4 linked regions of the Diceros bicornis minor genome follow. The protein of the gene in region 3 interacts with the protein of the main gene of each other region in a pairwise test. Links are inferred from orthologs where the notes say so. Each region holds a gene or a part of one and is shown on either strand. Other genes may lie near its edges.

Region 1 (6,887 bases), on a different chromosome or scaffold from region 3:
TAGGAAAGTTATGCCAATTTATGGACTAACCACATGAAATGGTCAATATTTGCCCATTTCTGAGCTACAAAAAGGCAATTTCACATGGCACAGCCTAATACATTCCTATTATTTCCCTACACTCTTGCTAATAATTATCAAACATTAGAACAACATTCATGAAGATCTTGGGACATTACAATTTCTTCTATTTTGTGAGAAAGGACACTAGGAACTTTCCTGAAGGTAGGAAAGAAGTCATTTACATGCAGGGTGCTGTCAATATCATTATGAATGACATTTGAATCCTTTCCATGCTGACATAGTGGAAGATGCTTTAGACCAAATGTCAGATCCCTTAGGCTCTTCTCCTGCCTCAGTTGTTGTGACCATGTCCCTAGCTGCACTCCTGGGACTTCACAAGGAGGCCAGACAGGATCAGTTTTAACACTCTATTTGTAAAATTCTACTTTTCTTTGTACACTAACGGAATTGGCAAAACCAGACCCTGTATTCCCCTCCTTTACGCTTCCACTGGAGATTCTTTTATTGTTTCTCATGTTTTTGAAGAAATTTTCATATGCAAGACAATGTTAAGGTTGAATACATCTGTACCTCCCAGAACTTGTAAGCAATGCACACCTGAGGCAAGTCTGAAGTGGTACTGCTGGTTTCCACATAGAAGGGAGAATTTGAGTGAGTTAAGTCTTGAGAAAGACCGCTGAAATTCATGGCATCCGCTTCTGACATGCTTTCTAATTTTTTAGGAGAAGCATCCACTTTAAGATGTACAGGATCTGAGGGTGATGACCAAACTTTTTGACAGTCCTTGTTCCTAACTGTTGGATAATGGAAGGCCTCTTTAAAAAAACATAATTTTAATGTCTATTAGTATATGCAAACAGAAAGCTTTTTTCCCCACCCCTCCTCACATTAAGAAAGCAGCAAAGTTCATTGTCCTAAATTTTAAAATGGTATATGTCAAGTTATTGGAAAAATTAAAAATTTTAGTCTGAGTATACCATTATACCTTTGTATGGTAGTAAATACTAATTTGGACAAAAACAAGTCAATATGTGTGGCTGCTATCCAATAATTCCTTAAAAATCTTGGGACCCAGAAGATGAAGGGATCTCTCAATTAATCAAAAGATTTACAAAATATTATCAGAGACCTATTAGGTTCCACAAAACAGTGTATTTCTGTTTACTTGATACTTTCTATTCAAACATTTCATTAACAAGTCAAATCCAACATTGTAAATCAGTTTTCCCTCACTTTCCTATGCCATACCTATTCTCTCAGACACCTGAGTTTGAACACTTGGAGATATCTTTGGCATCCCTCCACCTCATCATCCATGGGCTACTCAGTTACCAAGTCCTGTCCATTTCTCCTTTAAAAATTTTCTCATAACCCATGCTTTCTTTCCACCCTTTATCTCATCACACTGGTCCACATTCTCGTGACCTCCTAAGGTCTGTCAGGGGATGGGAGTGGAAAGGATGTCCAATCACACTGAATTCAAATTCTGCTGCTTGACTCTCTAGGTCTTTCATAGCCGGAACCCATGTTACCTACCCAGTACTCCCCTGCTCTAGTCAGATCAGGCTCACCTCCCTGCAAATAGATGACGCTCTTTACCACTTCAGCGGTCTGTCCTGGCGAGTGCTTCTCTCTCCTAAAACCTTCCCGTCTACCCATTCATCTATTTAAATTCCTACAATGTCTTCAGTCTAAACATCTATCTCATAATTCAGCATGGATTCATTTTACTGCTTTAGCATTCACCATTGTGTCCAGCATGTTAGTGTTTGCATTTACAGATTATAAATGCTTTGAGAGAAGTCCATTTATGGTTTTTCAACAACGCTTACAGAAAATAGACTGGTGTTGTTCACAGAGTAAATACTGATAGAATAAATCCTGCATTCCAATGATTTATTTCTATTAAAACTTCTCAATCTACAGCCACTACCCATTTGCCTGGATTATTTTATTTAATTATTGAATTAATAAATAATTTATTAAGGTTTAATTTTTTTCAAACCTACATCATCATTCGGTAAAGTATAAAAAAGCCAGTGAGCCAACCAGGCTAGCTAGGATTGGTGGAAAGCCCAACTTTCTCTGTCTTACAAACAGATAAACGCTGGCTGGGTTGTAGTAACAGGGATCTCAAAAATCCTTGTTGTGTTTTCCAAGTGCAAAAACACGCAAGGGCCTTATTTCTTAAATGTTAAACCCAGAATATCCAATTATAATTTTACAACTTTGTTCATATGGCACATCCGCCAATTTACTTTTTTTTTTAAGTTAGGCTTACTTTTTCTGTCATTCATTCTGTCCCTACCAGATTTATGCTCGACTTTTAAAATATTCAAGTGTTTGGAGAGATATTCCAGAGACACTCTAAAGCTGTTTTAAGATGGGCATTAAAAGAGATGTCACTGGAGTTACTGGCAAAAATTCTAAGGTTTTCTTTAAAAAATTGTTTTCAGTCGTATGTCAAACTTTAACTTTTAAAAGCACTTATCTTATTGTCACCTCAAAACAAGGCACCAAACTCTCACAAAATAAAAGAGATTGTAATGTCCCACGATCTTCATGTCTTTTTAACTTTTTAAGTCGCAAAAGTGTGCTCACTTCCAGGGTCCATCGAGTTGCTTGGAGCCACAGCGAGGATTCACGCTTCCTCCCTCCGCCCTGAGTTTTGCAGGAGGAAGAACGCTTCTCAGACTTCTCCACGGAGGACTCTCAAAAGCTGTCAGCTGGGAGGCGGGCGCGCCAGAACGTCCCTGTGTGACGTCCGCCCGCCCCCCGCGGGCTCGGCTTGGGGGCTTCGAAGCCTCTGTTCCCAGCGTTGGGAAGTTACGTGGGTGTGAGCCCTCAGGCCCAACAGCCTGTGGGCCAGATGTCGCGTCCTTCTGCGGGAGGAAACACAAAGCGCGGTGCAGAGACCAAAAGCTCCGGGCACAATGCCCGGCACAGGTTCAGCGCCGGACGCGACTCAACACGGCCACCTGACACCCCCATGCGCCCCTTCAGCGCACCGTCGGCGCCAGCGGCGGGCGCTCCGCCCGGCGCAGGGGCGGAACTTCCGGTCGAGCGGGACTTCCGGTCGGGAAGGCCGGGAGGCTGGGGCTGTTCGTCTGGATCCCTCGTAGCACGTGGCGCGCGGATTTGGCGTGGGGGCTTCTGAGCGGCTTGCGAGGCGGAAACCCACGGAGAGGCGGTTGGGTCGGCCGCGGGTATAACCGTCTCTGTGCGGTTCCTGTCCCAGCGCCGGGTGGGCGGCCTCCGCGGGCGCCGAGGCTCTGCGCGCGTCCGTCATGGACTACCGGCGGCTGCTGATGAGTCGGGTGGTCCCTGGGCAGTTCGACGACGCGGACTCTTCGGACAGGTAGGCGGCCGTGGAGTACACCGGCTCTCCCGATTCCGCTCTCCCCGCCGCCGCCGCCCCGTTGGGGAGTTGACGCTTGTTCGTGGTGTGGAGGGACACTGTAGTTTATCGCTCGGGGGCGCGCCCCACGGCTTCTCAGTCTTTCTCCATCCCAGCCGGGACTCGCCCCGGGTTATGGCAGAGGTAATGAGAGCCTCTGGTCAGGGGAGTCCGGGGTTCCCAGACGATTACCGTCGCTGAGGGACAGAGTTACGAATAGCGACTGGGAAACAGGTTTTTGCGCTTTATGTTAGGCATTCAAGAAATACTTATTGAGCACCTCCTGTGTGCCGGAATCTGTCCTCGGCGCTGGAGAAAGTGGTGAACAAGACAGACTAAGTCCCTGCTGTCATTGAACTTTACCCTCGCTACTTGGGAGGGGGGGCAGACAAATACATAGAAATTAAAAAAAGATGACATATACTATGCAAGTAATTAAAGGCGGTTGATATACTACGTGTGTATGGTCAGAGAAGGGTTAAGTCCAGATCTAAATGACAAGAAGGAGCTAACCTCAGGAATAGTAGAGGGAACAGCATTTCAGGCGGAGAGAACAGCAAGCGCAGAGGCCCAACGGTGGCATCCCTCTTGGCTGGCTGTGAAAGAAAGATCTAGAGGCCAATGTGCTTACAGCCCAGTGGAGGTAGTTGAGAAACTTGGTAGGTAATGGTATAGAAGTGAGAAGGGGCCATATCATGTGTAGCCTCACAAGTGATGGTAAGGAGTTGAGATGTTATTCTAGGTCTTGCAGGAAGCCATAGGGGGATTTTAGCAGGGGAATTACATCATCTGATTTATGGTTTAAAGGAATCGTTCTGCTATGGAGAGGATGGTTTTGGAGGGCAAGAGTGGAAGCAGAGACCAGTTCAAAAGTAATAAAGTCATCCAGTTCAAAGATTATGGGAGCTAGAGACAGAGTTGTAGGGATATGTTTTGGAGGTAGAAGTGAGAGGGTTTGGCAGTAGATTGGATGTGAATGTGAGGCAGAAAGAATTAAGGATAACTCCTACTTAAAAGCAAAATGAAACAGTTATTTTAGAATTCCAAGAAAGCAGTTTTTACTTAATGTTTACAGTAAAGATCTGTTACATATAGATTTTATCTGTCAGCTGGAGATTTTTTCAATAAATATATCTTGATCCCTTTCTGTGTGTCAGATCTAGTGTTAGTTGGTAGGGGTACATTGGTAAACACCACCCTGATTGACACAGAACTTGCACTCTAGCGAGGGAAACTTATTAAATAGTTAGACAAATTATTTGTATTAGAATTGGGTAAATAATACAAAGGAGAAATGGGTGACGAATAGGAAAGATCTCTCTGAGTGAGTTGATAGTAAGCTACTGCTGGAAGGAGTAGAAATGAGAGGGAGTAGAAGGGCATTCCAGGTTTATATTTACAGATGGGCGTACAGAAGCCCCTAGGAGAGAAGTTAAGAGGAAAGAAGCAGCACAGCCAGCGTGGCGTGAATAGTTAACAACAATGAGTATGCTCTGGTTTACTGTCCATCGCTGGATATGCTGATGATAAACCAACGATTTTGCCCCTCCTCCCCCAGTCCAGGGGACTTTTGCCGATCTCTGGAGACATTTTTGTTTGTCTCTACTAGGGGTGGTGGTGCACAAGTGGTATCTGGTAGGTAGGGCCAGAGATGCTGATAAACATCTTAGGATGCACAAGACAACCGCCTACAACAAAGGATTGTCTGGCTGAGGTTGAGAAGCCCTGGTATAAATGAAGGGGTAACTTTAACATGCCCCTCTAGGTTTTTGGCAATTTATTGATTATGTTTATGAAATCCTAGTAAATTGCAGGTGTTTAATGATTATTTTTTCTCTTCCTACCCATATTCATGGAGATTTTTAGCCCTCTAGACCATGGCTAATTAATAAGTCAGGATTGATATCTAAATTTGCTTAAACTCGTGTCTGACTGTTTTTAAGCCAGTAGTGCATATTATCACTTGTTTTATGTATGGTTTTTGTCCTTATTCTCTATATGAGAGATCGAAATTGGTAGTATCGCTATTGAATTTGGCCTGAAAATGTGTTTTGTTTGGTAGGCAAAGTGTTTTATAAAAATTGGATATGCCAGTTAAGTGGGAGATTTTACACAAAAATCCACGTTTCTGGCTTTTCTTGAAAAGCTAAGAAGATCTGGTAACACTAGGTCTGAATTCTCACATGGCAAAAAAAAAAAAAAAAAATACCGTATAAGTTGTGCTGCCTGTTCTCTGGATTTGACAATCCCCACTTCTCCTATTTTCTTATATGCAGCCTACGTCACTTATCTGTGGTGCAAGTATTCACTGTTCCTTCCCTTCATGCACAAGAGTGATTCTTTGTGTAAGACAAATCTTGATATAGTTTCTTTTGTTGCAAGGTGGTATTTGAGTTCAAGGTAAGGCTGCTTTAGACTTATTCCCAAGTTTTGGTCAGAAAGCTTTTTTTCCCTCTTAAACCAGTTCAATGAAGTTTCCCTTGCCTCAATTCATTCTGCAGAGAAGATAACTATATAAATTGTAACTTCAGTGGGGCAGAAGCAGATCCAACACCTGATGTACTTTAGTGTAGGACCTGGAGAATAAGCGAACAACTCCAGCAGAACTCTGAAAAACTGGAGAACTTGGTATTAAGAAGATTGAGCTTATTGGGAGATTGGTTGTAAGGGAACGTTTTAGATTTGTTGGTGTAGGTTTACTCTGTTATATCATAAATAAATACGTAAGTTTGTCCAATTGGAGCATTTCTAAACGTGCTGAAACATTGTTATTTCTAGTGAAAACCTTGACTTGAAGACAATCAAAGAAGAAGATGACTTTGTATTTGAAGACCTTCAAAGTAATGTGAATGAGAAGATGGGTGAAGGTGAGATAGAAGATGAGGAGGAGGAAGAGGATTATGATGATGACGATGATTGGGACTGGGATGATGGTGTTGGAAAACTTACCAAAGGTTATACCTTGAATGGAGGTAGTAACCCACAGGTATTTTATAAATGATTCTATACATCTTTGTGTTGTTTGCTTATGTCTTCTTTTTTAAAAGGACTTTTTGTGGTTCTGGAACTGAGTAACTGAAAGATTTTCCTCAGGTGATATTTTCCTGTAGTTCTAGCCTTTATTGATTTTCATTCTTTGACCTTTCCATATTTCGAATAACTTCCGAATGTGGATTCTTTCCGTAATCAATAAATTTAAAAAGAGTTATTTAAATTGTCGTAAGATTATGAGCTTTAAAATCTGCATGGGAAAGGAGATGAATAGACAGTTTACTACTGATGGTTAAGAAACGGAGAAAAACATATGTGGAATATAAACCAACACATGGACAGAGAAAACTGGACTGTGGTTACCCGGGAAGTGGGGGTGGGGGGTGGGCACAAGGGGTGAAGGGAGTCATATACGGGGTGATGGACAAACAAAAATGTACAACCCAAAATTTCACAATGTTAGAAACCATTAAAA
Region 2 (7,823 bases), on a different chromosome or scaffold from region 3:
TCGTCCACGTTCACCATGCTCAGGATGCGGCTGCAGAAGACCCTTGAGGCCGAGTCCGGGGTGTCCATCTCTTCCTCCTCCTCCGCTGCCTGAAACAGGCAAGAAGAAAGAGTCTTCAGTCTGCACCAGGCACCAGGAGTTGGGACAGAGAGGAGGGGCTGGGAACCGCAAAGGCTGTTTGAACATGAGTCGGTCACGCCACCTGAGCCTCAGCTTTGTCACCTGGGAATTCGGGGGTGTTCTGAGAACTACAGGAGACCATACTTATAACTTGCACCCCAGCACATGAGAACCCCTTAGTCCCTCCCACCTCCATGGCTCCCACTCTCCATGTGCCCGAGGCCAGGGGAAATTTCCACCTGCATAGATCTGCCAGCCACCTCCCACATCCCCCTGCCTTGGCCCACTCCCACCACAGGGCCTTTGCACCTGCTGTCCCCACCGGTAGCACATGCATGGCTGCCCCCTCAAATCATCAGCACCTCCAATGTCTTCTCTCCCGAGGTCTTTGATGATACCCCGAGGTCTTTGATGATACCCCAACTCTGGTCACTCTTATCACTCTGCCTTGTTTTAACTGCTTCACTGCCACACCTCTTCCTGAAATTATCTCAGTTGTCAGTTGATCTGTTTGCCTGTCATCCCCACAGCAGTGTCAGCTCCAAGAGAGCAGAGACTTGTCTCTCTCCCTTGCTGCTCTGCTCCAGAACGTGGCTCATAGCAAGGGATGGCCAGAACTTTGGCGGAGGCTGACAGAACCTTTCAAACTCAGCCCTGATGCTAGACTTTTATTAGCAAATTAAAGCCAAGAATTTCAGGCACTCAGAGCCAGGCTGCGGGCCCCAGGTCCCCGGCACCCAGGTGACCATTCTGGTGGGTGGGGGCTTCCTTGACCATGCCAGGGCAGGAGGGGCCACAGCTTCAGCACTGACCCTCCTGGTTGGGGGGAGGGTTCAGGAGAAACCCAGAATCCTGACATAGTTTGATTCTGGCGTCCACACATTTAATGGCTGACAGAAAGGCCCACTTGTGACTGGTGAGAATTCACACACAGGATTAGCAAGGTCTTTCAGAGCTCACTTGATCCACCCTCCTCTTTACAAGGCACTAACGTCATACACCAGGAACTGTTATCATCCTTGTTTATATATGAGAACACTGAGGCTCAGGGACTGAGGAACGGGGCCACTGTCACACAGCCAGAGAACCTGAGTCACAATTCACATGCCCATGCTCTGCAGGATCCACAGAGGTGTGAATCTGAACAGGTGTTCATTATCCACCCATGACGGGACAGCTGCTGCTCTAAGCAGCTGATTCCTGCCAGACTTCTGATTTTTTCCAGGCAAAAAACAGAAATACGGGTTTTTTTTCCTGTGAAATCGCCTCATTTACAAATGTCAGCAACCAATATTTTTTCCCCCCCAAACACCATGTAGTCAAGTGTTATCTATTTGAGCCCTGAATCTGGCTAGCGATTTGCAGCCCCTACATGCCTTCTAGAAATAAGCTGCCATACCTGGTGAAACTCTCCTCATCCAATTATCGCCATGTTTATTGAGCTCCCACTATGTGCCAGGTCTGGACACTCACAGTCTCCGATTTTTGAAGAAGCATGATCATGTATAAACAGGACACTTGCGCTCAAAGGGCAGTCATGTGGCAGGACCCACAGCCAGAGCCTGACAGGTTCAGGGTTCTGGACCAGTGGGAAACCATTCTGCTGCAAAGTACAGCTCTTTCTCATCTCCAGCTGCCAGATATGAGGGCTGAAGGATTCAGGGCACACTCCCCACTACCCTAGCTGTCTCCCTCAGGAAGCCTTCCCTGACTAACAGCTAGTCTGGCCCACACACAGGGTGGAAATGACCCAGCAAGGGCTCTGGCTCCTGCTCCAAATACCTTTATGAGGGAAACACACAGACAGGGAGGCTGTGTGACCTTGGAAGAATCACCTCACCTCCCTGAATCGGTTTTCTCACCCAGAAAATGGGAATAACAAAGAATCAGCACTTCACAGCGCTATCTGTGGGGACTGAAGCCAATTGTGATAAGGATCTGGGCTGTTTCTTCAAAGGGAGTGGGAAGAAGTCCTAGGGCGGGGCTCAGGAATCAGCTTTATTTTTGAGGAAGATCAGCCCTGAGCTAACATCTGCCAATCCTCCTCTTTTGGCTGAGGCAGACTGGCCCTGAGCTAACATCCCAGCTCATCTTCCTCCACTTTATATGGGACGCCAGCACAGCATGGCTTGACAAGCCCTGCGTTGGTGCTCGCCCGGGATCCGAACCGCGCGCACCCAACCGCCTGCGCCACCGGGCCAGCCCCAGGAATCAACATTTTAACAAGGGCTTCCCCGGTGCTTCCAAGAATATGAGCAAACACTTGAATAGCACTTCATTTAATCCCCAACCCTCCCTATGAGGCAGACACTATCATCTCCGAAGGCAGCTAAGGCTCACAGAGGTGGACTCAGCTGCCCAAGGTCACATGGCAAGGCGGAGAGGCGCCGCCATTCCACCCAAGTCCTTAACAGAATTTAACTTGGTGGCACAAGCTCAGCAAAACGAGCGCGGAGGGGCTCGCATATCCCCTCACGCCCCGCCCCTGCAAAGTGGGGAAACAGGCCCAAGCAGACCAACGCCCGGTTCCGGGTAACAACACAGCACAGCCTGAACACAAGCGGCCCAAACTCCCGTGCCCCGGATCCGGCCCGCGGCTCCGCCCGCGCGTCCACTGCGCAGACAGGGAAACCGAGACCTGTGCGCAGGAGGGGTGCCCAGATGTGGCCAGCGGCGCGCCCCACCCCACAACAGCCCGGGGACTACACCCGACCCGGCCCGGCCCGGCTCCCCAGCGGCCTCGGCGGCCCCAGCCCCACCCCGAACTCGGCACCAGCGTCGGTGGCAGCGGCACCTGCACATCTGGCGGCCTTGCTCGCGCTTCCGGGATGGCGCCCGAGCCTCCGCGACGTCACCACGCACCATGCGTGCGAGCGCGGGTGGCGGAGACGTACCCGGGGCCGACTGGCGTGCGTGGAGGCGCGGCAGGAAGGGGTGGGGCTTAGACGCAACTCCTGTTCCCGTGTGCGCCACAACAAATAGCCAATCGAGCAGTCCCTCTCGCGCCTGCGTAGTTTCCTAAGCCCGGGCTCCCTGGCAGTCCGGAAGTGGGTGGTGGAGGCTGGGAGACGTCCTGTTTTATACATGGTCAAACTGAGGTCCGAGAGCGGCAGGCGCTTCCGCAAGGTCATATAATGCTTCAGTGGCCTGCGGTCGACCCAGACCCAGGTGTCTTGCTTTCCAGGCTGGGAATCAGATTCATCTGGGTTCAAAAATCCCTGCGTCGCTTTTGGTGACCTTTTTCTAGTCCAGGATCCCATCCAGGATCCCACGTTGCATTTAGTCGTGTCTCCGTAGTCTCTTCCACTCTGTGACAGTTCCTCAGTCTTTCCTAAATTTTCATGACCTTAATGCTTTTGAAGAGTACTGGTTTTGTAGAATACTCATCAATATGGGTTTATCCAGTGTTTCCTCATGATTAGACTGAAGTTGAGCAGTTTGGGCAGGAATCCCACAGAAGCGATGTTGTGTCCTCCATGCATGGTATCAGGAAGCACGGGATGTTGATGTGTCTCGTTATTGGTGATGTTGACTTTGATTACTTGCTTAAGGCAGTGTCTGCCAGTTTCTCAACTGTCCAGTTACTATTTTCCCTTTTATAATTAATAGGTATCTTGTGGAGAGATACTTAAGAGCCCATACAAATACCCTAGTTTTGGGGGTTTTTTTAAACATATTTTTCACCCACTAGTTTTAGCATCCATCTGTGGCTCTTGCCAGCAACAATGATTACTATCGTGTTTGCATAATGGTGATTTTTTTTTTATAATTTTTTTTTAATTTATTTTTTCCCCCCAAAGCCCCAGTAGATAGTTGTATGTCACTGCTGCACATCCTTCTAGTTGCTGTATGTGGGACGCGGCCTCAGCATGGCCAGAGAAGCGGTCCGTCGGTGCGCGCCTGGGATCCAAACCCCGGGCTGCCAGCAGCGGAGCACGTGCACCCAACCGCTAAGCCACGGGGCCGGCCCTTTTTTAATTTTTTTTTTAATTTATTTTTTTCTGGTGATTTTCTGTTTATTAATTTAATTATTAATTGGAATTCTACTGTAAACAAGAGCTGTCCATTCTCCAATTATGGATTTATTCAAGTATTTGTATCACTATGAACTTATGAATATTTATTTTATTCTGTGGATTATAGTTAACTTCTTTTCTTTTTTCCTTTTTTTTTTTTTTTTTGCTGGTAACATCCACTGCCAATCTTCCTCTTTTTGTATGTGAGCCACTGCCACAGCACGGCCACTGACAGACGAGTGATGTAGGTCCACACCCAGGAACTGAACTTGGGCCACTGAAGCAGAGCCTGCCGAACTTCACCACTAGGCCACCAGGGCTGGCCCAATTTCTATATTATTTATTTTTCTGCCTCTTTAAGTTAGCCCCTATGTCATTTTAATATGTCTGCACCTTTCTCTGAGCACTTCCTTACTTTTGGCACCACAAGATGTTCCATGCTTGCTTTGGAATATCTCTGGAGTCAGCCATTTCTCCAAAGAGCCTGGTACCTTTTCTTGGAGAATAGGATTTAGAAACCAAGATCTCGGGCCAGCCCCGTGGCTTAGCGGTTAAGTGCACGCGCTCCGCTGCTGGCGGCCCGGGTTCGGATCCCGGGCGCGCACAGACGCACCGCTTCTCCGGCCATGCTGGGGCCGCGTCCCACATACAGCAACTAGAAGGCTGTGCAACTATGACATACAACTATCTACTGGGGCTTTGGGGGGAAAATAAATAAATAAAATCTTTAAAATAAATAAATAAATAAAAGAAACCAAGATCTGGGTGCTGGCCATGCTCACTGCCACTGGGCTATCATTGCTTAGAGACCCTCTCAGCAGTCAGAGTTAGCAAATACATGTATGCCTGCTAACCCATGCACACACATTTATATTTACTTCTATATCTGTCTCCTTGTATATAAACTGAAAACTGTGAGTTCATACTGATATGAGGATGCATTTTTAAGTGAAGTAATCCAAGTTAAATGCAAGAACAAAATGGGGCAAATAGTAATTGCTCAATAAATGTTAATTAATTACCATTAGTTATTGAGGTCTTTTTATTTATTTATTTATTTTTGTGTGAGGAGATCAGCCCTGAGCTAACATCTGCCAATCCTCTTCTTTTTTGCTGAGGAAGACTGGCCCTGGGCTAACATCCATGCCCATCTTCTTCTACTGTATATGGGACGCCGCCACAGCATGGCTTAACAAGCAGTGCGTTGGTGCGTGCCTGGGATCCAAACCGGCGAACCCTGGGCCGCCGCAGCGGAACGCGTGCACTTAACCGCTTGCGCCACCGGGCCGGCCCCAGTTGTTGAGGTCTTATGATGTGTATATGTTATATATTGTATGTCTAATTTTTCTGGGTCTCAGTTTGTTAACTGGGTGATCACAGCATCTGCCTTTTAAGGTCGTTGAGAGCTTGGGAGATATTGAGAGCTTGGGAGATGCACACATGCTCTTAGGCACATGGAAGACTCTTTAAGAGTCCTGGAATTGGACATATGTGAGTTCTGATTCCAGTTCTGTCACATCCTAGCTGGGTGGCCTTGGGCAAGTGGTTTAACCTTATGAAATCATGCAGGTTAATTCCTTACAACAAGTCTTGGCCCACTGTAAGCCCTCGGTAAACCGAGGGTAGACTGTATTATTACTGCCACACTCTGCTGCCTTCATTCATTGAAAAGTTAATGAAGACCAGGATTCTTATATAGTCAGTTCAACAAACAGTTTTAAAAATTGTTCAGTAAACTCTCTAGCCACCCTTTCTAGGAGTGGCCCATATTCTGGGCATCCAGAGAGTACTCAATTCATGCCTAGCCCTGGAGGATGGAGACAGAGTCTGACACAGACACTCCCATCCCTAGGGGAACAGTGCTGGGCTAGAGGGAGGAGAGACTCAAGACTGAAGGAACCTGAAGAATGGGGTATGAGGACTCGTTTTGGGGACAAGGAATCAGGTACATCTGGATGGTTTTTTTGTGTGTGTGTGAAGAAGACCAGCCCTGAGCTAACATCCGATGCCAATCCTCCTTTGTTTTGCTGAGGAAGACTGGCTTTGGACTAACATCCGTGCCCGTCTTCCTCTACTTTACATGGGACGCCGCCACAGCATGGCTTAACAAGCAGTGTGTTGGTGTGCGCCCGGGATCCGAACCGGTGAACCCGGGGCTGCCACAGCGGAGCACATGCACTTAACTGCTTGCGTCACCAGGCTGGCCCCTGGATGGGGTTTTGAGGTAGGATTAGGAGTTTTCTAGGTGCTGACAACCATTCAGGACTGAGGGAATCACAGGAGCAAAGACAGGATGGTGGGAAAGCACATATCATGGACTCTATCTTTGTAAAAATTGTGGAGCTCAGTAAGCCAGGCGGCAGCCACTGCTGAGCGAGGAGCCGGGGCGGAGGCTGCTGGGAAAAGTGGAACCACAGCTCTGTCTGCAGGCTGCAGCAGAAGAGGCCCAAGCTGGAGAAATCAAGCTTTTTGATGGGTCCCTTGGGCTCTGTTGGAGGCCAGGAAACATTTACAAGGGTCCTGGAAGGGGTGGGGGTTGCACATCGGGCCAAAAGGGACTTGGCTGGCCTCAGATGTTTTGTGCACAGTGGAGTGGAGACAAGAAAATATTTCCCTCCTTTGTGTGTTCAAGGGAGAGGGTTGGAAGTGATGGGAACACTCAGTCAGCTCAGTGATGGGGCCACTGGTCTGGGGAAGGCCTAAGTCTGGGGACTGGAAGCCTTTCTTTTCAATTTTTTTGCCACTTCTTTTTCCTACATAACACTCATCACAGCTGCAAATTAGATACTTAACTGCATCATTCTTTGTGCAATATCCAGCTCCTTGGCTGGAATAAAAGCTCGGTAATGGAAGATACCTAACCCATACTGCCCTTCATCACTGTGACCTTGAACAAGGTAATTACCTTCTCTGTGCCTCAGTTTCCCCATCTGCAATATAAGGATAACCTTACCAAAACACATGCACCCAGTCCTAAAGAAAGCAAGAAAGCAGAGAGAAGAGCATAGAGCAGGTAGGACAGAGAAAAAAACACACAAGATGGCATATTTTAAGTCCAAATAGGTCCATAATTACATTAAATGTAAAATACACCAAATGCACCAATTAAAAGACAAAGATGGGGGTCTGGCCCGGTGGCGTAGCGTTTAAGTTTGCGTGCCCCACTTTGGTGACCCAGGGTTTGCAGGTTCAGATCCTGGGCGCGGACCTGCACACTGCTCATCAAGCCATGCTGAGGCGGCGTCCCACATGGAGCAACTAGAAGGATGTACAACTACAACTATCTACTGGGGCTTTGGGGAGACAAAAGGAAAAACGGAGGAAGATTGGCAACATATGTTAGCTCAGGGCCAATGTTCCTAAAAAAAAAAAAAAAATTTCCTCCTTCGTTTAAAAAGAAAAAAGACAAAGATGGGCAGACTAGACCAAAGAGCAAAACTCAACTCGATGCTGCTTATAGGAGACACATGTACAACATGAGGATACAGAAAGGTGGAAGATAAAGGGTGGAGCATTTAAAACAGGAACCAGGGGCCAGCCCGGTGGCGCAAGCCGTTAAGTGCGTGCGCTCCGCTGCAGCAGCCCGGGGTTCGCCGGTTCGGATCCCGGGCGCGCACTGATGCACTGCTTGGCAAGCCATGCTGTGGCGGTGTCCCATATAAAGTGGAGGAAAATGGGCACAGATGT
Region 3 (8,014 bases):
TAAGAATTGTAGTAGCTTTTTATCTCCTTCTCTTGCCTTCAGTCTTACTGGGCTATTTTCAAATTCTCTGCATTCTTTTCCTTATAAGGAATATCTCTCCTTGATCTATCAGCGGCTCTTTTGAAAAAACTAAATAAACGTCCTGCTGGAGAATTTGGGGGAGACAGACATCCTCCATTTAGCCATATACGGAGCAGACATCTGATCTACATTATACAAAGCAGGCACAGAGTTATATGTGTTTTTTGGCTCTTTTTCTAAAGCCAGGTAGTTTGTAACTTAAATGTTTTAGCTAAATCAGTGCTTCCCTGAACCCCCTTTCCCAGGAATCTTGATTTTCACTGAAAATTTCTTTTTGTCAGATTCTAAATGTCCTATGTCTGGATTTCTCATTTACAAAGCACACTTGGAAATTACATTTCAAGCCTTTCACGCCACAAAAAGCCTGTACTGATTTCAAGACCCAAGACCCTCCAGCAATTTGCATTTTACTCTCATACAAAAAATTCTGCGGTTGAACTTGGTAGTTCAACTTCCGGGCATAGCTTTCCCGGGTGCTCATGCATTCTTGGAATTGTTATACCAACTTCCCAAGGAATTCTTGCCTAATTGGGCCTCTAGGCTTAATTAGCTTCTGGAATGGAATCCAACGGTGTGAGAGGAAGTCAGTCCTTTGGAAATCTAATGGTTGGCTTGACTTATTCAGCAGAAGAGGCCAGCTCTTCAGCGAAAAAGATTCCAAAGGGCAGTGGACAAAGTGCTGGTAGAGCTTTGGCGGCCTATGCATCACCCCTGAAACTATGCGGTGGTTGTCAGAGGGCTGACAGGTGGGGGTGGGGCGAGCAGGAAGGGCAGGGGGCAGCGGGCTCACTATACCATATAAAGCACTGAGCTATATATAACTCCCAGCTTACTTTCTGGATCTGGTGCCCTCAGACTGCAGACCCAAGCAAGTATCATCTTCCCAGGCAGATCTTAAGGGGTGGATTAAGACTTCCCTGGTGAGAAAGGAGGCCTCAAGTGTCTCTCTGCCCCACCATCAAGCTCGGTCTTCTGAGTAAACCTAGCACCATGCCATTCCTTCCATCTAGAGGCCAGGCCCTCTGGATCCTGACTAGACCCACCACTGAAACCCAGGCCTTCCCATCCACCAGACATGGCAAAAGGAAAGAGAGGAAAGAAAACTAGGCATTCTGTCTGCACAAACCTTGGTGATGACACCTCAGAAGTTTTCTGCCACCAGGGAGGCAAGGTTCACCTCCAAAGTCCAATTTCAGCTGCTCTATGCTCCCAGCTTCTCACCCACCCACCTCCACCCCCAGGGGTGGGGAGAAGGAAGGAGGAAAAAAGAAAGAGGAATGGATGAAATATAAATGAAGGTGTGCAGTAGCAGTCCCAGGCAGCATCCAGTGCTCTGAGCCATGGCGAGGCTGTGTGCAGATGTCCAGCAGGAGGAGGTGACCCTCCTCCATTGCTCTCTGGCCCGTGTGGTGACCCCGGAGTGACTACGCGGGGCAGGAGGTGAGGGAAGCAGTGTGTGCGTGCACTTACGTCGGTGGCCTTTTTCTCCGCCAGCTCCAGCTTCTCCTGGGCATCTTTGAGAGCCTCGGAGTATTTGTCCAGTTCATCTTCGGTGCCCTTGAGTTTCTTTTGCAGCGACACTAGCTCATCTTCCAGCTGGGAGTTGGCCGTGGGGGACGGGAGGGGGGGTGGGGGGGTGGGTGCAGCAGGCAGCGTGATCCCGCAGGGGAAGGGTGTGGGTGCACAGAACCAGAAGGACAGGGACAGAGGGAGAGAGAGAGGGAAAGACAGGGAGGGAGAGAAAGAGAGAGAGACAGAGTTAGCCATTCGTGCGCCGCACCGCGCCGCGCGCCCCGGGTACCTTGGCGGCGGACTCGTCGGCGGCCAGGAGGCTGTCCTCCGCCTTGTGCAGCTCCTCCAGCACCCGGTCCCGCTCGTCCTCCGACGCCCGCATTAGCTTCTCCATCGCCGCGATGTCCTCCTCGAGCTGGGGGCAGCGGCGGGCGGGCGCGGGCGGCCGGCACGGACCGGGTGTTAGACACACACACAACACAAGGGCGCCGGGTTGGCTGAGGGCCCTCGGGCTTGGGGCGCCACCGAGTTGGGACTCAAGGGTCCCTGGGTAACCTCCTCTCGCTCCGAGCTGGAACCGCACCGTGGCCCACCCCGCACCTCCACCTCCCCCGGGAGGAGACTCCTGCTGAGGCCTCAGCGGGCTCAAGTCCACAACTTGGGGGCGCAGAAAAAGCCCCTGTTTCCCTATCTTTCGGGCCGCACTCTCTATTCTGTCCTATCTTTGTTCTTAGGAAAAAAATCCATGACTTCCTCCCCTCCCCCGTCTCTATCCCAGTTGAAGTTTATATTCTCCCCAGTCAAAAGTCCAGAAGAACGACTAACACTTTCTGGACTTGATTCCCTTCAACCCCTCAACCCTACCGACCCCCCCATCCAAAATTGATTCCCGATGCTGAGGATCAAGTGCCTCTAGGACTTGGATTGACTTCGCGAGCTCTGGGACCAGAGAAGGGAAACAAGCGTCCTCAGACGAGACTAAAGAGTTAGAATAAGCCTGAGTCTTCTCTTCCCCTCCCCCTTCTTAGACGCGCGTCCCTGGCCGCCCAGGAGTAGGGGGTGGCCCTCCGAGTCCTGGGGGTGAGGGGCCGGGCGGGGGTGCCAAGCCCGGGTGCCAGGGCTCGGGGCCACCGGGCGGACGGAGCGCGCGGGCGCACGGGGGGCGCAGAGCCGGGGAGGCGCAGACCTGTTTGCTCCTGTCCTCCGCCGCCTTCTTATCGGCCTCCGCCTGCTCTGCTCGATCCAAGGCGTTCTCCTTGTCGAGCTTCAGCATCTGCATCTTCTTCTTGATGGCGTCCATGGTGGCGGCGGCGAGGGGCCCTGGGGCTGCGGCGGGAGCGGCGAGGCGAGAGCGCGGTGGGGCGGCCGAGCCGGAGTGCGAGCGCAGAGCAGCCTGCTGCTCCCAGATATGTACTTTCCCAAGGGGGCGACCGCATTCCTCAAGACAGCCAATACTTTTTTGGAAAAGCTTTTTTCTCCTGCCCCTTTTCCCCCTCCTTCCTCCGCCCCCTGCCCCCTCCCCGCTCCTCCCGCGGGGGCCGCTCGCCCATTCGCTGCCGCCTGCCGGCCTCCCAGTTGACGGTGGATATGTCTATATATGGGGACCGGAGCCGCCGGGGCGGCGGCCGGGTGAGGCCGCCCTGTTTCCAAACCTGCACGCCAGGGAGAGGGCACCGGGGCCGAGCCCGGGCCGGGGCGCTAACCTCTGCGCTGCGCGGCTCCTCCTCCCAGGGCGGACGCCCCGCCATCGAGGGCCCCAGGCGAGCCCGCCCTGAGCCACAGGAGGCCGGGGCAATAGGGCAGGTAGAGGGTGCGCGTCGCCCCCCTGAGCCGCCAGATCCCGGCGCGCACAGCATCAGGCCCCGAGGCCCCCAGCAGCCGCCCCACTCGGCGCCCGGGCCTGCGCGCTCCCTGCACTCGCCCAGCGCTTCCCCGGCAGCTCTCCGCTTGCCGGGTGTCATCCGGGCGCTCACTCTGGAAACTCAACCGGAGCAGAGAAAGGACGAGTTGGGAGGAAGTTCTGGGGGCCCCTCCTGAGACTTTCTCTGCTGGTGCGGGTCAGAATGTCTGGGCATCTTTCTGCGTGCCCTTCCTCCAAGGAGAGGAACAGTCGAATATTTTAGGGACACAGGACTCGGCTTAGTTCTGCTTTTGCCTGTGTGTGGTGCTTCTGCAAAGGTGCTTGTGTGTGTGCTAGTGTGTCGGTGTGGGAATTTAAGGGGAAAGAATATTGAGTGTAGACTCAGGCAACTCAGTCTTTGGTCTCCATCATCAGCAGCTGTGTGACCTTGACGCATGGCCTCGGTGCTGCAGTTTCCTCATCTTTAAATCCCGGGGGGTAGATGATCCCTGAGGTGCCTCCAGATCTCACTTTTTATCATTTTTCTTGCACTGATTTTAGGGAGTCGGCCTCTTTCCATGTTAGGTGCTCAGGTACCAGGTTGCCAAAACGTGGGATAGATGTTACCCCAGCGAAGTCACTGTATCCACAGCCATAACCAGGAGAAGCGATCAGGCCAACTCTGTACAGACTGTGAGACTTCAAGCTCTGCTTGAAGGCAGGAGGATTTCCCTTACATCTCTGACTCCTCCCAGCCCCCAGTGGGGAAAAGCTTGCTCTTTTCAGAGCTTTGGTGGGAGGGGAAGAGAAGGGGCCACCCCAAGGCTCTGCCTGAGACTGGCTGCAGCAGAGTTGGTGAGGGTCTTCTTCACCCTCCCCAGAGAATAATTCACAACCTGTACTACATGGATACTGAATATTCCCTGGGCAGTATCTGAGTAGATTAGGCAGGTCAAACAACTTGTAAGTCCTTCAGAGAATAGTCAAGTTCCTCTCCAGGATTTTATCAAGTTTCTTCCACTAACCTAACAGCCCAGGAAGGAAAAGATACCCTGACCTAATGGTCAGAACATTAGATCTGTGTGCATAGGGGCTGTAGGGCACAGAAATTCACCAGAACCCCCCACCCACAGGAGCACTAACAAAGTTCAAGGCCTATGGGCTTGAACAGATGCATGGACCACAGGGAGCTGATTCTCCAGCTTGGAGCTCAGGACAGGGGGCAAGAGTAGGGACTCAAGAATTAGACCCTGGGATCCAAACCTGGCCTGGCCACCTCTTTGCAATGCGACCGTAGCCATGTTACAATCTCTTTAGGCCTCAGTTTTCTCTTCTGTAAAGTAGGTGTAAAAATTCTTCCCTGTTAGAGTTGTTACAAGGATGACAATGCAATAAAGAATGAAAAGCATTTTGTCTAGCACATAGCAAAGTGCTCAGTAAATTACTGCTGCTTGAGTGGCAGAGGGCAAGTTGTTTCCCCTCTCTGGGCCTCAGTTTTCTCATCTATAAAATGAGGCAACTGAACTAGAGAAACTCCTGGAGGGATCATATAATATTGACTTTTCTCCACTGTGCCTAACATAGCAGAGCAACTTGTTAAATTTTCCTTAAATGAACTGGTGCTACAGACAATTCCTCAAACACACCATTGGTGAGCATCTGCTCTATACCAGGCAGGCACTAGGCTCTGGTATCCCCAAATGAGTAAGACACATCCATGCCCTCCACGTGTTCAGCATGAGCAGGGGTATAAGAACTCAGAGGAGAAAGAAATAGAAATGACCAGTTCGGAGCAGACAGAATAAACTTCTCTGAAAAGTGCTGGTTTTTAGACTGATTTTAGAGGAAAGGTAGCAGATAGAGAGGAGGATACTGTATGAGCCAAGGGAAGAAAAAGGAATGTTTGATGGTGGTTGGACACTAGGTTTCCTTGGGGGTGAACTGGGACATGAGACTGGAAAGGTAGATTGGGGGCATATGGTAAAGGGACTGAATTCCGGGTTCAGACGTTCAGGTCTTATTGTTTGGGTTGAAGCCAAGCAGTCTTCTTCCCCTCCCTGCCCCTCTCACCCAGAGTTATGTTCAGAGGATGAAGACTGTGGTATCCAAGGGTGGAAATGGAGCTACACAGAGCCAATTTTTTAAATCCCTTGGTACCACATCATTGATCCCTAGATTGATGGGTTAACATAGCAGGTCCCTGGACTGAATCATTTCCATTTCGCCACTGTTGAGATTCTGCCCTATGAATAGCCTGACAGCCAGCCAGACCCAACCCAGCTTCATGGACTGCACCATCCATGACCTTTCTGTTGTGTAGGGCTAGGACAAGCAAAACATCATGACTTACACAATTTCTTCTGTACTGGACAGATCTCCTGGTCGCTGGATAGGATCAAGAGGGGTGGGCTGGACAGCCGCGTGCTGTAGTGTATATATCCCTCTTGCCCAGCTGACTGGCCATGACTCATGGACAGACCCAAAGGCTAACCAGAGACCTAGTGCTGTGGTCTGTCAGGCAAAGATGGACTAGGCCACTCAGCTTCTCTCTCACTGTGGTTTGAACTAAGGAATGTGGAAAATATGAATCATCAGCTGTGGCTGCTGAAACAAAAAGTGTTTGCAATCTTGGGCTAGAGATGCCTTGAATGAGGGTGATTAAGGCTATTCACAAATATTTGGGCTTTCTCCCCAATCAGGGTCTTGGTAGGATTATACATCTTCACCCAATTTAGTTAGGTGTGGTCATTTGACTTGCTTTGGCCAAGGAAATGTGAGCAGAAGTGATTTATGGCGGACACTTGAAGAGTTAACACGTCTCACTATGTTCATTTTTCAAGATTCTTGCTGCTCTGTCATTCTGGGTTCCCACGTGGCTATGGTAAGCAGAGCTCCCCCTCTCCTCCCAACTAACCCTTGGTGGACATGTAGCAAAAGAGAGATATAAACCTTTGCTATTTTAGGCCACTGAGATTTGGGGGTTGTTTGTTACTGAAGTGTTACTAGCATCTCCTGCCCTAATTCAGCACAACAGGTCATATATCACCCCAGTTATGAGGAAGCAGAGATGTCTGGTTATAGAGAAAGGAGGATGGAGCAGACATGTCAAGATAAACAGAAGCACCACTGAGAGAAAGAGAAGGGAGAATATGACCAAATTTCAGTGCCAGGAGTCCTTATAATAACCCCCTTTCTTTCCTGAGGTTACATGAGAGAGTCTGTGTTCCTTGAAATTAAAAAAGCTGACCGAATCACGGTGACATGGGAGCCTGCACAACATCCTTGGTCCAGAGCTTCTGTGTGAACATCAAGAATGTCTGTGGAATTTCCAGGAGATTTCCGTAGTGCTTGGTATTCAGTCATTTCTCAGTAAATGTTTGTTGAATGACTGTTTATTGGCTATTAGCCATACAATTAAGTAGGAGAAACAGTATCTGGGAAGGAAAGATAACAAAACTATGCTCAAAAGACATTATTTCCATTCAAAATATGGATTCTATGTTTTATTTTCTGAAGTATTGTGATAGAGTAGGACAAATATTTACTGAACACCTTTTGTGTGCCAGGCATTTAACTAGAGTTTATGGGATCAAGGAAGGTGGATAAGAGACCTGGATCTTTTCCTCCAGGATAAGTATTTATGTATGACGTGGGGTAAAATCCTCTCTCTGGGGGTCATTTAATGTGAATTTCCAACCACATTACCATTGACCCAAATGCTGCCTGGGCCCCCCTATAGCTGCGAGGATCATGTATCTCAGGTTTTCTAGGAGAGCTTTAACATTAAATATACTGTCCCTTCCTCTCATAAGAGCACCCATACTTGCCATACTACATTTTCCAATATTTGGTTAGAAAAGACAATCAACATGAGCAACAAGTGTGACGCCTTTAACAAGAAGACTCACTTGACTATGTACATGAGGGTTTGTTTGTTTAAAAACAAAAACAAAAATAAACTCTTATTACCTGATAGTCACACCTTGTTTAACAGCACTAGCTCTACCCGTGTACCATGACTCCCCCAGCGTCAACAGTGCTGACTCAAGCAATTATGGGAACGTGGAGAATCTATAATTAAATTGAGAGACAATTGCTTCTTCCACTGGGTGTTGGAATGCAGCGTGTTATGCTCACGGCTCATTGTCTCATGGAACAAGATACAGCCTGTTCTCCTCATACACAAGGGATCTTTCTTTCTCAAGGTTTGTGATGCTACCATCAAGCACCCAAGGAAAGTATGCTCTGCTTTCAGGGAGGGTTTGGAGCTCTGAGAAAGGTCTTCAGGCCACTGTGGATGCCTTTCTTCATTTAGTGACCATCTTTCATTGTTTAGAGGTCCCTGAGTATGCTTGCTACCTGGAGGGTTGGCACAGGCAAAATGGTTCTCCCAGTACAGAAAAAGACAATAAGTTAGTTCTGCCTTATATCTTATCTTCTGTTTTTCAACAGGAGCAACTATGTATAGATTTAATCAAGCTGACTTGTGGTGGAATTTAGCTGTCTCAAGAATAGCAATATTCCTTATTTATGTAAAGTCTAAAAAGCACTTTCAAGTTCATTATCTCCTTCTCACCACCT
Region 4 (7,100 bases), on a different chromosome or scaffold from region 3:
GGGACACATTTAGGAGGACGTGATTGGGACCCCCCCCAAGATCTCACCTTGGTTTGGGGCGCTCCTCTTCTGTTGGGGGGATACAAAGAGATAATTAGCAAGAGTTCATGGGGATGGGCTTGACACACCCAGAGAAGGGAACCCCCGCAAGCCTCAGTCCCCAGGAGCCCAGTTCCCTCCTCCTGTTGCTCTGGGGGGGGGGGCAGGAAAGGAGAAAAGGAGAGAAGGGAAATCAGGGTGGCCAGAAGGAGGAGGAGAATCACACGCATCAGATATACATTCAGAACTGGTGTGGGGATCCCCTCCCACTTTCCTGGGAACCCAAGGGTCCAAATCCCCAGACCCTCCTCCTTGTACATACCCAGAGCTCCTGCCCTCCTCCAACAAGACCTAGCAGTGCAGGGGGGCCCCAAACCTTCTCTTCTATCGGTGGCCCAGGAGCTGTGTTCCCAGTCCCCTCCCCCTTGGGGACACAGGAACCCGGACTCCCAGTGCTAGCCCCTTCTGCAACCTAGGCCCCAACCTTTGAATGTATATGGAGAAGAAAAATAACAGACAGGGTAGGGGGCGAAGATGAGGGGGGATGGGGTGGTGCCCCTCCGCAAACATCCAACCCTTCTGTAAGTATTCCTCCAGGCTGGGGAAGAAGGCTTGGGTGTCGGTCCCTTTAAGAAGGAAGGGAAAGGGTTAAAGCCGCTGCGAGGTGATTTTCCCTTCGTGGCCACCAGAGGGCGCGCGGGCGCTCCGGGGCTTAAAGGACCGGGCCTGGGGCGGGTTATGGGGGCGGGAGGGAGTCATCGCGGAGGTCAGGGCCCCCGAAATCGGTCTCGAGAAGCGAAGCAGCCGCGATTACCTCGCTCTGCCACCAGCTCCGGCTCCTCGGTGGCTGGGGAGGGGGCAGGAGGAGAAGCGAGGATTGGGGGAGCCGGGGGGGGGGAGGGAGCGGGGTGGGGGAGCGGCCACGCCGGGTGCGGGAGGGGGAGAGAGGGGAGAGAGGGGAGAGGCTGTTAAAGGAACTGAAGCCGAGGCCTTCGGGACCCCCGTGCCCCGCCAGCCTCCACCCCTGGACGAGTGTCCCCACCCCACCCGGGCCCGGCGGGGCCCCGCGTCCAGCTCCAGACCTGCTGAGGCCAGGGCCTCACCTTCCTCCTCCTCCTCGGCGGGGGCAGCCTCCTCTTCTGGAAGGGGCGGGGCAGAGAAGGGAGGGCGTTAGGAGCCCGGGGGGGCCGGGGGCGGCTGGGCCTTTATTCAGATGTGGGGGTGGCCAGAGAGCGGTCTTCGAGTCTCAGCTGGGCGGGGGGGACCCCTCTGGGCCTCAGGTGCAAATGGGCACCGTGCGCTTTTCCCATTGGCCGTGGGAGATTTCCTGGAAACGCTCCAGAGGGTGGGCGTCGGGCGGGGTGGGCTAACCCGCCTCTCTCCCCGGCTCCCTGCTGGGAAGGGGCCGCACCATCTCGCGCTTCCCATACGCTACGCGCATGGGTGTTCCCACCTCCCCAGGGCCAGCGCACCGTCCACTCACCTTCCGGCTGCTCCCTGAGGACCGAGTGGGAGGGAAAGAGGGAGGGGGAAAGTTAGATGCGTTGGAGGTGGGAGAGTGTCTCCTCTTCTCCAAACCCCCAGCCCCTCCCGCCAGCATCACTCACTCCTCATATTCCTGCTCTTCCGTTTCCGACATCCTGGTGTGACCTACGGACCACAGAGAACAGACGCAATGGGGTGGGGTCCAGAAGGAGGAGGGTGTTGGGGTCTGGACTCCTGGTCTGAGGGAGGAGGGGCTGGGGGCCTGGACTCCTGGGTCTGAGGGAGGAGGAGCTGGGGGCCTGGACTCCTGGGTCTGAGGGAGGAGGGGCCAGAGGCCTGGAGTGTGCATGAGGACAGGGCATTGGGAGGTGTGGCCCAGGCAGAGCCCCAGGCCTGCAGCCCCCACGCCCTCAGCACAGCTGTCATCTTTTGTCTTAGGACCTGTCCATGGGAACCTGATCTGAGTGGGGATTAGGAGAAGGTATTTGGGAAGGGACAGTGGCCTGAAGACAATAGCTGCCCCACCCCCAGGGGCTATTTTGAGGGGATGTCGCAGCCAGTGAAACAGAGGACATTTCCTAAGAAGGGATGGGGGGGCTTCTGGGAGAGTTAGTCCCCCCTCCCCTCTGGCAGGTCATCTTCCCACCTGTCTCCTTCCTTCACCTTCACCCACAGCCGTGGAGGGGGCAGGAGGCATGAGGGCAGCTTCTGTCCACAGACCTCATCCTGACCCCTAAATACTTAGAGCCCCCAGTCTCTGAGATCCCCCAGGCCCCAAGGTGCCCAGTTTGAGTCCCCCCAAATCTCAATAGCCATAGATCCTGAGACCCCAGTGTATGATGCTCTTGCTCTCTGAGGACCATTCTGACACTCTGGTTCTTGACTCTCCAGAGTATGGGCCGGGACACATCCCAAGATCTTGACCCCCCGGTATTGACACCCCCTAAATTCTGAAACCTCAAGATCATGAGACCCCAAAATCTGGATACCCCAACTCAGAGGCCCAGTTCATGACACTCAGAATTATGACACTCCAAATTGTGATGCCTCCAATCATAAGACCTCAGATCCTGAGACCTCAGTTCCTAAAATCCCAGATTCTGAGACCCACCCCCATCCTGACACCCAGACTCTTTGACGTCCAAGCCCAGATACCCCCAATTTCTGAGATTCCCTGACTCTGAGAGATCCTAAGTTTATATTCTGTTCCCCAAATCCTGGCACCACCGGATCCCGTAACACCCAAATCCTAACACTTTCCCTTCCATTCTTAGTCCCCCTAAAGTCTGAGCCTCTGGAATTCCCAGACCTTGATTTTCCTGCCCCCTCCTTCCCCATACGTATTCTCCACACCCCTCATCTCCCTCCCCTCCTGCCCCTCCCCCAAGGGCACCGCAGGGCCAGGGCCCCTTACCTAAGACTGGGTCTGCTGAGGCGGTAAACCGGCGGGGGCAGAGTCTTGCTGGGCCCCACTGAGGCACCCCTGGGTTTATAGCTGGAGGCTCAGCCCCGCCCCCAGGAGGGAGATGGAGGGGGGAGATGGAGGGGGGAGAGGGAGGGGGGAGAGGGAGGGAGAGAGAATGCCTTTCCCCAAACCGGAGTCCCCAGTCAGAGGCTGCCCTGCCCCCACTCAGGCTCCACATGGCAGGATCCAGGCACCTGCTGGCTGCTCGGACCCCCCTCCTCTGCCCCATCAGCACCTCCTGGAACCCTGGGCTGGGTCCGGGGCTCCCCCCTCCCTTACAGCACAGGGCACCCTGTGCTTTGAAGTCCCCATGCTCAGCCCACAGTAGGCCCTTGGAGACTGCTTATTGACTAAAGGGGGACAAGGGACACTTTCTCTTTGCATGGCTCTTGTCACTTTTTCTGTGTCTCTCTGGCCCTCCACCTCTCACACCCTGTTTCTCTGTCTCTATGACTCTCCGTCTGTGGGTCTCTGTGCATCTCTCTCTGCTTCTCAGGCTCCCCCCTCTGTCTCTGTCCCTCTTTGTCTTCTCCTCCCCACCCCCACCCCTTTGTCTGCCACCGGGATTCCACCCTGGTGACAACAGGCACTAAAGCTGGGAAACAGGTGTGTGTCGGGGGAGGCGAGAGGGTGGGGTGTCAGCCCCGCGGGACCTCACCCCCCACCTCCATCTGACACTGGTCTGTTTTGGTATCCCTCTCCCCGCTTCCCTGCCAAGCCGTGACCTTGAAGGGTGGGGGAGCAGGCCCTGGAGAGCGGGACTCCTCGCCCTCCCTGCCTCTCTCTTGCTGTCTCTGTCTCACTGTCTGCCATCTCTGTTTCTGTCTTCTATGCATTTCTCAGCGGTGTCTCTTTGGCTCTCTGTTTCAGACTCTCTCTGTCTCTCTCTGTCTCTGTGTTCTTCACTCTGCATGTCTCTTGGCATGTTTTTGTCTCTGCGTCTCTGCCTCCCTCAGGGTCTGTCTGTTGGTGTCTGTGTCTCCTGGTCTCTCGTGCATGTCTGTCTGTGACCCCAGTTCTGTCTCTCTGGCTCTGTGTCCATGTCTCTATCTTTCTGGCTCTTTCTGGGGGTCTCTCTTTGTGTCTCTGCAGTTGTTCCTCTTTGGTCCCTGTTTCTGTCTCTGTAGGGTCTCCCTTGTCTCTGTCTCGCTGTGTGTATCTGTCTCTCTGTTTTCCATTTCTTTGCATTTCTTTCTGTGATTCTCTGTCCTTTTCCCCCTCTCTCCTTGGGTCTCTGGCTCTGTGTAACTGTCTCTGACTCAGTCTGTCTGTCTGTGTCTCTGTCTCTCTTTGGGCCTTGGTCTCGGCATCTCTGTGCAGCCCGCGTGGAGCAGAGGAGCCTAGAACGCCCCATATTGGAGACCCAGCTCAGCTCCTCGCGTGTGGTGTGGCTTTCGGGGAGCTCTGCCCTCAGGTCTCCCATCTCTGTCACCCCTAAGCCCCCGGGTAGGAGACACGCAGCCACTCCCAGCTCAGAGAGAAGCTTTATTCCTCAAGGCCATCCTCAGGGCCAGAGCGGTGGGCAGGCCAGCTCAGCCCTCAAACTTTTTCTTGCGGCCCTCCATTCCGCTTAGCGCGTCGATGTTCTTGCGCCAGTCTCCCACCTCCCGGTTTTCCTGGGGGAATAGAGTCAGAGGTTAGGGTCTCTTCCTGGTCCACAATCTCTCGAATATCCTCCAGCTGCCCTCCAGCCTGCTGGGCTGCTCTATTCTGGACGCCTGTCCCAGAACCTGGTTCTGGAACACGTCTTGTCCCCTCAGACAATCCCTTCCAATTTGCCCCATGCACTTCCTGTCTCCCTCCTGCACTTCCTGTTTCCCACATGCACTTCCTGTCTCCCTCCTGCACTTCCTGTCTCCCACATGCACTTCCTGTCTCCCTCCTGCACTTCCTGTTTCCCACATGCACTTCCTGTCTCCCTCCTGCACTTCCTGTCTCCCTCCTGCACTTCCTGTCTCCCTCCTGCACTTCCTGTCTCCCACATGCACTTCCTGTGTCCCTCCTGCACTTCCTGTCTCCCACATGCACTTCCTGTGTCCCTCCTGCACTTCCTGTCTCCCTCCTGCACTTCCTGTCTCCCACATGCACTTCCTGTGTCCCTCCTGTACTTCCTGTTGAGGACCCTTACCAGATACTTCTCCCCACCACTCCAAGCACCATCTGCCCTCAGGACAGGCCCTGGCATTGTCACCTCCCACATCCTCGCCTCTAAGCACCCCCTTTCCTGGCCCTCGCCCCACTCACCTTCTCTGTATCCTCCTTCTTCACCTGCTTGAGGTGGGCCCGCAGGTCTAAGGTCGCCTTAGCCCTGGCCCCCAGCAGCGCCTGCATCATGGCATCCGCAGAGATCCGCACCCTCCGCAGGGTGGGCCGCTTAAACTTGCCCCGAAGGTCAAAGATCTTCTGGGTCAGATCTGCGATCTGGGGGCAGCCATAAGAGGAGGTGGAGACTCCCCTCTGCTTCCCCTTTGCCCCACTCTTCCACCCTAACTCCCCTCCTATCCTATCCAGGCCGCATCCGGGCCCTCCCTAGCTCAACCACCTTTGGGACAAAATCTAAGCTCCTCATTCCGGAACTGGAAGTCCTCCCGGAGCTGCCCCAGCCTCATCTCTGAAAACCACTGACTCATCCCAGTCCAGCTACCTGCATCTCACAGTTCCCCGGCCCATACCTGAGCTCATTTACCAACACTTCAGCTCCAGCCACACATGTCCACAAGCATATTCCTACTGTTCCACCTCCTGGTTTTTGCACGTGCTGTTCCCTCTGCCTGGTACAGCCTTCCCTGAGCATACTGTACTCATCTTTCTGCCCACTCCCTGTCAGACTCACAGACTTGTCCTGGGTCTCCTGGTGTCTGCAACCACAAGCAGCTGCCAGGGGGCAAGCTGAGACCACAGCCCCAGGCATTGCACCCTACCCTGAGGGGACCCACACTGCCCAGTGCCTCCCACCTCCGTGATGTTCTTGGTGACTTTCGCCTCCACGTCGTATCTCTCCTCATCAACCTTGTCCACGCGGGCATGGAGCTGTCGGCACAAATCCTGGTGGAGGAACGGTGGCGTGTGTGGGGCGGGGAAGGCTGGGGACCCAGACTGCTGGGTCTGTGGGAGGAGAGGCTAGGGGCCTGGACTCCTGAGTCTGAGGGAGGAGGGGCTGGGGGCCTGGACTCCTGGGTCTGAGGGAGGAGGGGCTGGGGGCCTGGACTCCTGGGTCTGAGGGAGGAGATTGAAGCTGGACTCTGGGGAACTGTGAACAAAGCAGCACTCCAGAGCCAAGAGTCCTGAGAATCCGACAGAATTCGAGTTGCAGGAACCGACTTCTAGGTTTTGAGACTGTAGCCCTCAAGCATGGAGCTGCAGGCCATATTTCTGAACTCCCGACGTAAGGTTTAGGAGATTGGACCGCAAGGTCCTGAGCAGAAGGGGATAGTGCCTATACTCCTGAGTCCCAAGGATGCAAGACCGGAGAGTAGGAATCTCAGACCCCGGGCTGAGAGAGAGTCCCTGGTTAGAACCGGTACCTGCAGCTCCTCGAAGCCCAGCCCGGCCAACTCCAGAGGCTGGCACCGCGTGCTCAGGGCCCGCCCCTTCTCTCCACGCCGCTCCTCCGCCTCCCGCTCCAGCTCCTGCTTCGCAATCTGCAGCATCAGGGTCTGCGGAGTGGACCACCGCCCACCCGGGGGTAGCGGGATGAGGACCGCGCTCTCGGGGAAGCTGCTTCCTCCCGCCCCGCCCTCGAATCCCAGTCCCGTCCTTCGCCTTAGAGACCCGTCCCCTCGAGGTCCACCATTCCAAGGCCACGCCCCTCCCGTAGGTGGGTCCCCGCCGCAAAGCCACGCCCCCAGGAACGCACCACGCCAAGTCCCGCCCACTCGCACGCCCGAAGCCCCACCCCAACCTTCAAGCTCCGCCCCCCCCGAGGACACCTAGGCGCCCTCTCCAGGCCCATCCGCACCTTCAGCTGCAGTTTTCTCGAGGCGGAGATCTTAGACTTTTTCTGCCAGGGTGACACAGAGCAATGAAGGATCAGAGACGGGGTTCCGAAGGTGAGCAGTGGGAGGGACTTCAGAGCAGCCCCCCCTTCCCCCCCCCGCAAGCCAGGTCCAGA

The links.
Region 1: the proteins of TPM1 (region 3) and CAGE1 interact in binary tests that used the Homo sapiens proteins (3 or more experiments, as listed by UniProt). The two-hybrid records come from large-scale screens. The link is inferred for Diceros bicornis minor from reciprocal best matches to the Homo sapiens genes TPM1 and CAGE1.
Region 2: the proteins of TPM1 (region 3) and KXD1 interact in binary tests that used the Homo sapiens proteins (3 or more experiments, as listed by UniProt). The two-hybrid records come from large-scale screens. The link is inferred for Diceros bicornis minor from reciprocal best matches to the Homo sapiens genes TPM1 and KXD1.
Region 4: the proteins of TPM1 (region 3) and TNNT1 interact in binary tests that used the Homo sapiens proteins (3 or more experiments, as listed by UniProt). The two-hybrid records come from large-scale screens. The link is inferred for Diceros bicornis minor from reciprocal best matches to the Homo sapiens genes TPM1 and TNNT1.

The regions. Positions count from the first base shown.
Region 1 is NC_080753.1:58,996,664-59,003,550, reverse strand, and holds the start of CAGE1 (cancer-associated gene 1 protein), read right to left. Parts: upstream 3,015-6,887; 5' UTR 2,639-3,014; coding exon 2,626-2,638; intron 840-2,625; coding exon 622-839; intron 1-621. Other genes in the region: RIOK1 (serine/threonine-protein kinase RIO1), read left to right, coding at 3,312-3,382, 6,200-6,407.
Region 2 is NC_080759.1:6,173,875-6,181,697, reverse strand, and holds the start of KXD1 (kxDL motif-containing protein 1), read right to left. Parts: upstream 3,008-7,823; 5' UTR 2,915-3,007; exon of another isoform or gene 2,880-2,914; intron 2,765-2,879; exon of another isoform or gene 1,520-2,764; intron 90-1,519; 5' UTR 69-89; coding exon 1-68.
Region 3 is NC_080744.1:57,612,707-57,620,720, reverse strand, and holds the start of TPM1 (tropomyosin alpha-1 chain), read right to left. Parts: upstream 3,003-8,014; 5' UTR 2,894-3,002; coding exon 2,780-2,893; intron 2,009-2,779; coding exon 1,883-2,008; intron 1,678-1,882; coding exon 1,552-1,677; intron 1-1,551. UniProt on the Homo sapiens protein: Binds to actin filaments in muscle and non-muscle cells. Plays a central role, in association with the troponin complex, in the calcium dependent regulation of vertebrate striated muscle contraction.
Region 4 is NC_080773.1:33,187,531-33,194,630, forward strand, and holds the start of TNNT1 (troponin T, slow skeletal muscle), read right to left. Parts: upstream 3,003-7,100; 5' UTR 2,939-3,002; intron 1,749-2,938; exon of another isoform or gene 1,690-1,748; 5' UTR 1,679-1,689; coding exon 1,647-1,678; intron 1,537-1,646; coding exon 1,523-1,536; intron 1,179-1,522; coding exon 1,143-1,178; coding exon of another isoform or gene 1,122-1,142; intron 887-1,121; coding exon 854-886; intron 666-853; coding exon 615-665; intron 70-614; coding exon 48-69; intron 1-47. Other genes in the region: TNNI3 (troponin I, cardiac muscle), read right to left, coding at 4,522-4,605, 5,234-5,410, 5,945-6,034, 6,514-6,645, 6,948-7,100. UniProt on the Homo sapiens protein: Troponin T is the tropomyosin-binding subunit of troponin, the thin filament regulatory complex which confers calcium-sensitivity to striated muscle actomyosin ATPase activity.